Linked DNA regions of Macaca fascicularis. The protein of the gene in region 2 interacts with the protein of the main gene of each other region in a pairwise test. Links are inferred from orthologs where the notes say so. Each region holds a gene or a part of one and is shown on either strand. Other genes may lie near its edges. The genes, in order: E2F6 and TFDP1.

What was found.
Region 1: the proteins of TFDP1 (region 2) and E2F6 interact in binary tests that used the Homo sapiens proteins (3 or more experiments, as listed by UniProt). The link is inferred for Macaca fascicularis from reciprocal best matches to the Homo sapiens genes TFDP1 and E2F6.

What each region holds. Positions count from the first base shown.
Region 1 is NC_088387.1:110,642,958-110,647,407, forward strand, and holds the start of E2F6 (transcription factor E2F6), read left to right. Parts: upstream 1-1,397; 5' UTR 1,398-1,676; coding exon 1,677-1,784; intron 1,785-4,450. UniProt on the Homo sapiens protein: Inhibitor of E2F-dependent transcription. Binds DNA cooperatively with DP proteins through the E2 recognition site, 5'-TTTC[CG]CGC-3'. Has a preference for the 5'-TTTCCCGC-3' E2F recognition site.
Region 2 is NC_088391.1:104,025,165-104,028,973, reverse strand, and holds part of TFDP1 (transcription factor Dp-1), read right to left. Parts: intron 3,692-3,809; coding exon 3,570-3,691; intron 2,169-3,569; coding exon 2,003-2,168; intron 1,535-2,002; coding exon 1,391-1,534; intron 908-1,390; coding exon 839-907; intron 1-838. UniProt on the Homo sapiens protein: Can stimulate E2F-dependent transcription.

The DNA.
Region 1 (4,450 bases), on a different chromosome or scaffold from region 2:
ATTTTAAAAAATTAGCCGGGCATAGTGGCATGCACCAGTACTCTTAGCTACGTGGGAGTCTTAACTGGGAGACCACTTGAGACCAGGAGTTTGATGCTACAGTGAATTATGACCATGCCACTGCCCTCCAGCCTGGGTAATGGGGAAAAAAAAAAGATTAGAGACCTCTGACATCATAGTCTAGTGGGGAGCCAGCTTCTTCAGGGATTTCTCCCTGCCTCACCTCGCCCACCTCAGGCTGTGTAGAAACCCCCAGTCTAACCGGTTGTTTCCCTCCAACTCTGTACACACCACGGTGTGTTACCTTTTTGTTTCAAACATGTGCTGGCCTCTGTTCTAATCACAGCAACCTGTATCCATTAATCCATTTAATCCTCACAACAACCTTATCAGGTAAGTATTGTCATTATTCGCATTTTCCAAATAAGGAAACTGAGGCACAGGCAGATTAAGTAACTGGCTTAATAAGGTCTTCTGGTTTATAAGTAGGAGCCAGGATTTGAAAACACACCTCTGGCTCCAGCTTAATTAACATGCTCTGTTTACTTATCTGTCCCCACTGAAATTGGAGGTTGAACCTGTGGCATATCCAAATGAGTAAGTATCGCCTGTGCTCACCCCAATATCTGACACTATAGGTCCACGATAACTCATTCATCAAACAGGAAGGAGGGAGGAAGGAAGGAAGGAAGGAAGGCAGGAAGGAAGGAAGGCAGGAAGGAAGGAAAGAAGGCAGGCAGGCAGAAGTAAAACGATACCACAATGGTTTGGTTGCTCACATTTACTAAGCATCAACACTGACCCGCCTGTAAGATGTGCTAACAGAGCTCAGGAATAAATGAAGGCCGGGCGTGGTAGCTCATGCCTATAATCCCAGCACTTGGGAGGCCAAGGTGGGAGGATGGCTTGAGCCCCAGAGTTCAAGACCAGTCGGTGCAATATACTGAGACTCTGCCTCTACTAAAATTAAAATTAAAAATTAGCCGGGCGCAGTGGCGCGCGCCTGTAGTCCCAGCTACTTGGGAGGCTGAGGTGGGAGGATCGCTTGAGCCTAAGAATTCGAGGCTGCAGTGAGCCCTGACCACGCCACTGCACTCCAGCCTGGGCGACAAAAAAAAAAAAAATTAAAATTAAAAAAAGGAATAAATGAACATCTTTGCGGCTGAGAGCTTTCAGTTATCACCGTCGAGAATTCCAGGCGAGCGCTGCGTTTTCCCAGCTGCCTGTTTTCTCTCACCCCCGTTCCCTTCCTCTGGAATCCGGCTCCACCTCTTCCTTTTCCTTTGCCAGCCTCTCCGTGGATTCCGCGGTCCGGGTTTCCCGGGCGCCAGCCGCCGGGAGAGGATCGGTGCGTGGGAGCGCTCCGGCCGCGGCGGGCATGCGCAGAGGGGGGCGGTACACTGCGCATGCGGAAAAATGGCGGGCCGGGCTACTTGAGAGCCGCGGGTCTACCTCCTCCTTTCCCGTCTTCGTCGGGAGTTCCCGGGCACGTGAGGCAGTGCCGCGTTTGCTGGCGGGTGGGACGGCCTAGCCGGGCGGGGCCTTGGAGGACGCCGCGGATCCGTCAGTTTCTGGGCCCTTGGAAATCGGCGCGTGGGGGGCGGTGATCGAGCTGCGCGCGAGAGGGCGGGAGAGCTCGCGGGGTGCGAGGGGAGCGGGACGCCCGGCCGGGCAGCATGAGTCAGCAGCGGCCGGCGAGGAAGTTGCCCAGTCTCCTCCTGGACCCCGCGGAGGAGACGGTTCGCCGTCGGTGCCGAGACCCCATCAACGTGGAGGGACTGCTGGTAAGCTCCGGGACGGGAGGGGGACGGGCGGGGGTCTCCCAAAGCTGGCCCCCTCCTCCCCGCGCCGCCGCCAACCCCGCTGGCCGTCGTCTCGGTCGTCTGCTCCCCCTGGGCCAGGCGCTGCCCATCACGTGCTGCGAAACTGCGCTCTCCCGCCTTCTGCTTTCAGCATCTGTTCACAGACGTGGTGTCAGTCTTCTGGACTTTTACATCGGAACTTCAGGGCACTGTTGGAGAAAATTGCTCAACTTTGCATTGGAAAGGCCATGTTTTTCTCCTTCAGTGGACTCTAGCTGTATCTCTGCAACCTATCATTTGTTCTTCTACCTTCTCTCTCTTCTGCTCTACTGCAGCCGTTTAAAACCTTGTCCACGCTTTATATTTACCACGCCACAGCTCCCATTCATAAAATTATCTCCCCACCTGTTTGACGGAGAAAATGGTTAGGAGATTTGGCTCCCTTTCCCACAAAGACTGATTTCTTCTACTCTTGTTCTGGACCAGATACTGTATTCCCCGGTTCTCAAGGTCCTTAACAAATGCGTTCTTTTCCATTCCTCCCGTATTTTCTTTTTCTTTTTTTGAGATGGAGTTTTTACTCTTGTTCCCCAGGCTGGAGTGCAATGGCACGATCTCAGCTCACTGCAACCGCCGCCTCCCAGGTTCAAGCGATTCTTCTGCTTCAGCCTCCCATGTAGCTGGGATCACAGTCATGCGCCACCACACCCAGCTAATTTTGTATTTATAGTAGAGACGGGATTTCACCGTGTTGGCCAAGCTGGTCTCGAACTCCTGACGACCTCAGGTGATCCACCCGCCTCGGCCTCCCAAAGTGATGGGATTACAAGGCGTGAGCCACCGAGCCCGGCCTCTCCCCATATTTTCAATTTCTCTGCTGCTTTCTTCCTATAACTAGTAGTAATTAAACATTTTCCCAAGTCATTATGCCTGGTCCCCATACCAAATAGTTTGTGATTATTGTCTCATTTAATTTCTCACAGCAGTGTTTTATAATAGTAAAAGACTATTATTCTTGTTTTACGGTTGCCAAAACAGACCTGGAGATGCATGTAATGCCGGCTTGCCTGTGGCTAGATAGTAAGTGGAGAAACTTGGGTTGAACCTCCAAATGTCTAACTCCAGATGATAAATTCTTGACTACTAAAACCACATTCTCAATCCATCCCCATCTTAAAAGATCCCTCCCTTAATTCCATATCCCTTGCCATCTACTGTCTCTCTTCCCCTTCACAGCTAAACTTCTTGAAAAAGTTATTTACACTCACTCTTTCCACTTGATCGTCTCATTATCAGCCAACCCACTGCTGGGGACCCCTATCCTCAGCACACTTGTGAGACCATTCTAACCAGGGTCACCGACAATCTCGTCAATTCCAGCAGCTGTTGTAGTTTTGACACAAAACTACTTGTGTTGGAAACTCTCCCTTGAGTTTCCTTGACATTGATGTTCCATCTGCTTCTCTGGGCTCTCCTTGTCCTCATCCTCTTCCCAGTCCTTCATTTTTTTTTCCCCCGAGACAGGATCTCACTCTGTCACCCTGGCTGGAGTGCAGTGGCACATCCTGGCTCACTGCAGCCTTGACCTCCCAGGCTCAAGTGATTCTTCTGCCTCCACCTCTCTAGTAGCTGGGACCACAGGCACATGCCACAAGGCCTGGCTAATTTTTTTATTTTTAGATATGGAAGTCTTCCTGCGTGGCCCAGGCTGGTCTTGAACTCCTGGGCTCAAGCTGTCCTCTCACCTCAGTTTCCCAAAGTGCTGGGATTACAGGTGTGAGCCACCGTGGCTGGCCACATGTTGATGATATTCAGGGTTCTCTTCTGCTGTCTCTACACATTCTTCTTAGGGGAGTTCATTCTCTCCTCCCATGACTTATGTTACCGTCTACATTTGATCCTTGAACGACTCAGGGTTTGGGGCACCAAATCACATGAAATTCAAAATCTGAATATAACTTTGATTCCCCCAAAACTTTACTGTTTCCTGGAAGCCTTACTGATACTGTAAACAGTTGATTAACACATATTTTGTATTTACATGTATTAGTTAGTGTATTCTTATAATAAAGTAGCTAAAGAAAACGTTATTAAGAAAATCATAAATAAGAGAAAGTCCTACTCATTCAGGGGAATTAGATGATCGTAAAGGTCTTCATCCTTGTCTTCACACTGAGTAGGCTGATGAAGAGGAGTAAGAGGAGGAGTTGGTTTTGCTCTCTAAGTTGTGGCAGGGGGTAAAGAAAATTGGCATCTAAGTGGACCCACACAGTTCAAACCTGTGTTGTTTGAGGATCAGCTGTATATTGGTACCATCTGTATTGGTCGTCTTAATATTTGAGAATTTGATAAAAACTCTAAGCTCACTGTGGAAAAACCACTTAGTTTGCATGCAATATCAGCAGATACATCGCTTGAAATCTTAGACATACATTTCTGGTATTTTCAGTTACCATATCGTAATTCCCAAATCTATAAATCTCCCTCAGGGTTTTCCAGCTGTCTACTAGACCTTCCTACTTAGGTTTCCAACTCCTATTAGTCCCCCCTCATCTGAGGTTTCACTTTTCTTGATTTCATTTAACCTGTGGTCCCCCAAACTATTAAAATGAAAATTCCAGAAATAATTCATCAGTTTTAAAATGCTT
Region 2 (3,809 bases):
CCGGCCACCCTGGGTCTATCCCCGTTAGGCAGGTACTAAGGCACTGGCAACCAGGACTGTCCCTCCTGACAGACTCTGTGGCCCTGAGCAGCTCTCGCCCACGAGTCTCCATCACCATGGCTGCCACACCATCCCCTCTGGGAGGGCTCGAGCACACCTCGGCCAGAGCAGCAGTCAGCTCTGCACTGAGCACCTTGCACACGACCCCCTCCACACCAGACACGGGGCCCCCAGGGGTGCCGCCCACCCTCAGCACTCAGTGGGAGGTGGGGAAGGCCAGCTCCAGGGCCCTGATCAGCACTGTCAAGACCCAGGTGCATTGCGCCCACCACAGTTTTACATGCCTCGCCTGGCACCTGGGCCTTGGGTTAAGCACCTCTGAGGGGATTTTTCAAATGCTGCTTTTGCATGAAGTCATCCCTCCATCTGTCTTTTGGCTGTTTAGACACTGTGACGAGGGATACACACATACACATGCACACACACAGGCACATGGATGCAGGCACACACACGCAGGCACGCACACACATGCGTGCACACACACGCAGGCACACACGCAGGCATGCACACACATGCACACACACAGGCACATGGACGCAGGTGCACACACACATGCACACACACACGCACGCATGCATGCATACGCACACACATACACAACCTCGCTCTGGGAACACGGCCCACATTCAACACCTATGAGATGAACTCACACTCAGAATCTTAAAGCAGTCATTTAATTTGCCACACAGGAGCGTAACCCAAGGCAGTATGTTGCTGTTATAAAACTAAATTAGTAAAATAAAAATTACCCTGCCTCCAAAGATATGTATTCTCTTACCTGTAGAATAAGTTCTTGAAGTTGAGACTGTTTCTGTTTTATTCTTTCAAGTCTCCTCTGTCTTTCCACCTTCAAAAACAAACCCCCCATGTAGAGAATCATCACGATTGTTCCATACAGTGCATTTTACAACCCGCATCCTCAGTGTTACCTATGTTTACCTTGAATGTAATCGAAGGGATATGGACAAATCTAGACATAGCAGATGCCACAAAATACAGGTGAGTTTTTCTTCCATTTCTAAACTATACCTTTTCCCCTCTCCTCTCATTTCTTGGATTTAACTATGGTATCTAAAAAGAAAACAAAAATCCCACAAACTAGGATTCACAATTAACCTGTGCTAGAGTTTAACACACTCTAGTGGGTCTGGGCCAACCATGCTCCCTCCCCTGACAGCCGAGACTGAGAAACGCAGGGAGACGTCTGCATGACCGTCTGCCAGCCGTCTGGACACAGAGAGCATAAGGGCATGGAGCCCAGACCCTTCTGAGTGACGGACAACAAACACATCTACACAGACTTGAAGGGAAATCAAGGTTGAAGGGCCACCTCTAAGTTCTGACATTCCTGAGCCGAGTTGGTGGGCAGACCAATCCACTTGATCTCCTTCTTCTCCTTGGAGATGATGTTCATGGCCATCAGCACGTTTAAGGCATCGTAGACGCGCCGTCTTATGTTCTTCTGGTCATAAGCCTGCGGATGACAGGGAGTGGATTTTCCAAATGATCCAAAAAAGCCTGTGGATCCCACCTTAAACTGTAGGCCACGTGCACCGGCTTGAAGGGGCACCCCGCTCACAGAGCTGTCACCCCAACACGTCCTCAGGGAGCACTCCCACCCTACAGATGATGCAGGGCAAGACAGGGCTGTGCGAATCCCAGTGTGTTCCAGGAGGGGAGCTGGGGGCCCTCGGGTGTCGAGCCCAGCTGGCGAGGAGGGCACGTCTGCATTTCTGGGCCGCTGGATGTGCAGAGCCAGCCCACGTGCTCGCTCACTGACGCTGACAGAGCATCATGCCAGCAAATGGACTGGGAAAAATTCTGTCATGCTGTACTTGGAATTTTCTGTATGGTTTTAACTGTTCCCAATATTAAAAGAGTAAAACGTGCCACACCACTTGGTTCCGCTACCCTGGCCTCTCGGCCCCCAGCACACACTTACTGACTCGTTTGGTAAGATGTGGTTGTCGGCAGCACTGAACTCCGCGACCAGCTCGTCCGCCACTTCGTTGTAGGAAGTGGTCCCTTTCCTCTGCACCTTCTCGCAGACCTTCATGGAGAAATGCCGCAGGCCCTTGCCATTCTTCTCTCCTTTCCTGTTGCGCTTCCTTCAAAATACAAAGGAAAAAAGAAGCGACCGTCAGCCCTCCTGAGCATCAGTCTGAATCGAGGAATGCTTTTACCTGAGAGCTCTAATGAGCTGCACAAAAAGGGGCCACATCCCACGGGCGCAGCAGATCCAACACGTGAGCAGGCCAGGACCACCTAGCCCCAGCCCCCAGGCCCAGTGCTCCTGCAGGTCAGAAAGCGAGTGTCTCCCTGGCAGGCTGCACCTCTGTCCTTCCAAGTGTCAGGGAAAACGGGAGGCGTCCCCAGGACCCGAATCAGCATATGGAAGGCCTATCAGTACTCAGCATATGAGAGGCCTATCAGTACACCAAGCACTTCTTTTTTTTTTTTTCTTTTTTGAGATGGAGTCTCGCTCTGTAGTGGGCTGGAGTGCGGTGGCACGATCTTGGCTCACTGCAACCTCCGCCTCCTGGGTTCAAGCGATTCTCCTGCCTCAGCCTCCCAAGTAGCTGGGATTACAGGCGCCCGCCCGCCACCACACCTGGCTAATTTTTTTGTATTTTTAGTAGAGACAGGGTTTCAGCATGTTGGCCAGGATGGTCTCAATCTCTTGACCTCATGATCTGCCGGCCTCGGCCTCCCACAGGGCTGGGATTACAGGTGTGAGCCACAGGCATCACTTTTCTAAAGAGGGCAACCAGAATCAGGAACTATGGGACATTTCAGTGTACATTTGGGAATTTTTAGGACAAATTTCAGCAGGCTATAATTTCATACGGCTTGGGCTGTGATAGCCGCTTGACAACAGGTGCAAACCACTAAGTGTTCTTCACACAGAGGGAAAGCCCAACTCTACACTCTGGTCAGTCCCCACGTGGCGGGAAAGGTCACCTGCGGTCCCAGCTGGTGAAGCTTTGGGCACCGACACAGGTAGGTTTTTGTAGCTTTGCATGTGTGTTTTTTTAAGGAAAGACACAGCTCATCAGATCTTGCTTTAGTGGAAGGAGCCACTCTGGTGGGACCACTCACGGGGGCCGTAACCCCAGGGGCAGTAGAGGCTGCATTCAGGGGCAGTGGGTGAAATCCATCCCGCGTGCTCCCAGCACAGACGATGAAAAGTCTCCAAGGTCCTGTGGCAAGTACAAGGCCAGCTTCTCCCCGTCTTGGCCAAGAGCTGCCAGCCCTTCCAAGAGCACCCACTACACCAGACACAAAGCAGGGTGGGCAGTGCCCAGCCCGACTTCTCCGTGACCGAGGCAGTGCGCCTCGACTGCACACCTGTGCGGGGCACGATGATGGGTGAGTGTGATTCGGAGGCTGACATCAATGCGCATGGGAGCCCCACCGTGCGACTGTGTCACGCACGTGGCCCAGGAGAACGTGGAGGTGCGAACCGCAAGCAATCCTACAACTCTAAGGGTCCGGAGGGAAGTGCTCACCCGGCAGACCAAGGTGAGGAGTCGGAAGGCTGGTTCTGAGAGGCAAAGTGAGTGCTGGGGGTGTGTGGGCTTCCTACCACCAGGGTGTTTGACGCTGCCGGTCTCTGAGGCGTACCAATTACCTATAGTCAAAAAAGACAATTCAGACAGTCAGTCCCCGCCCACACGGCGAGGGTGCCACGCCCACCAACTGTTCGCTATCCACAGCCACTGTGGAATTTTGTTAACCACAGCGAGCAG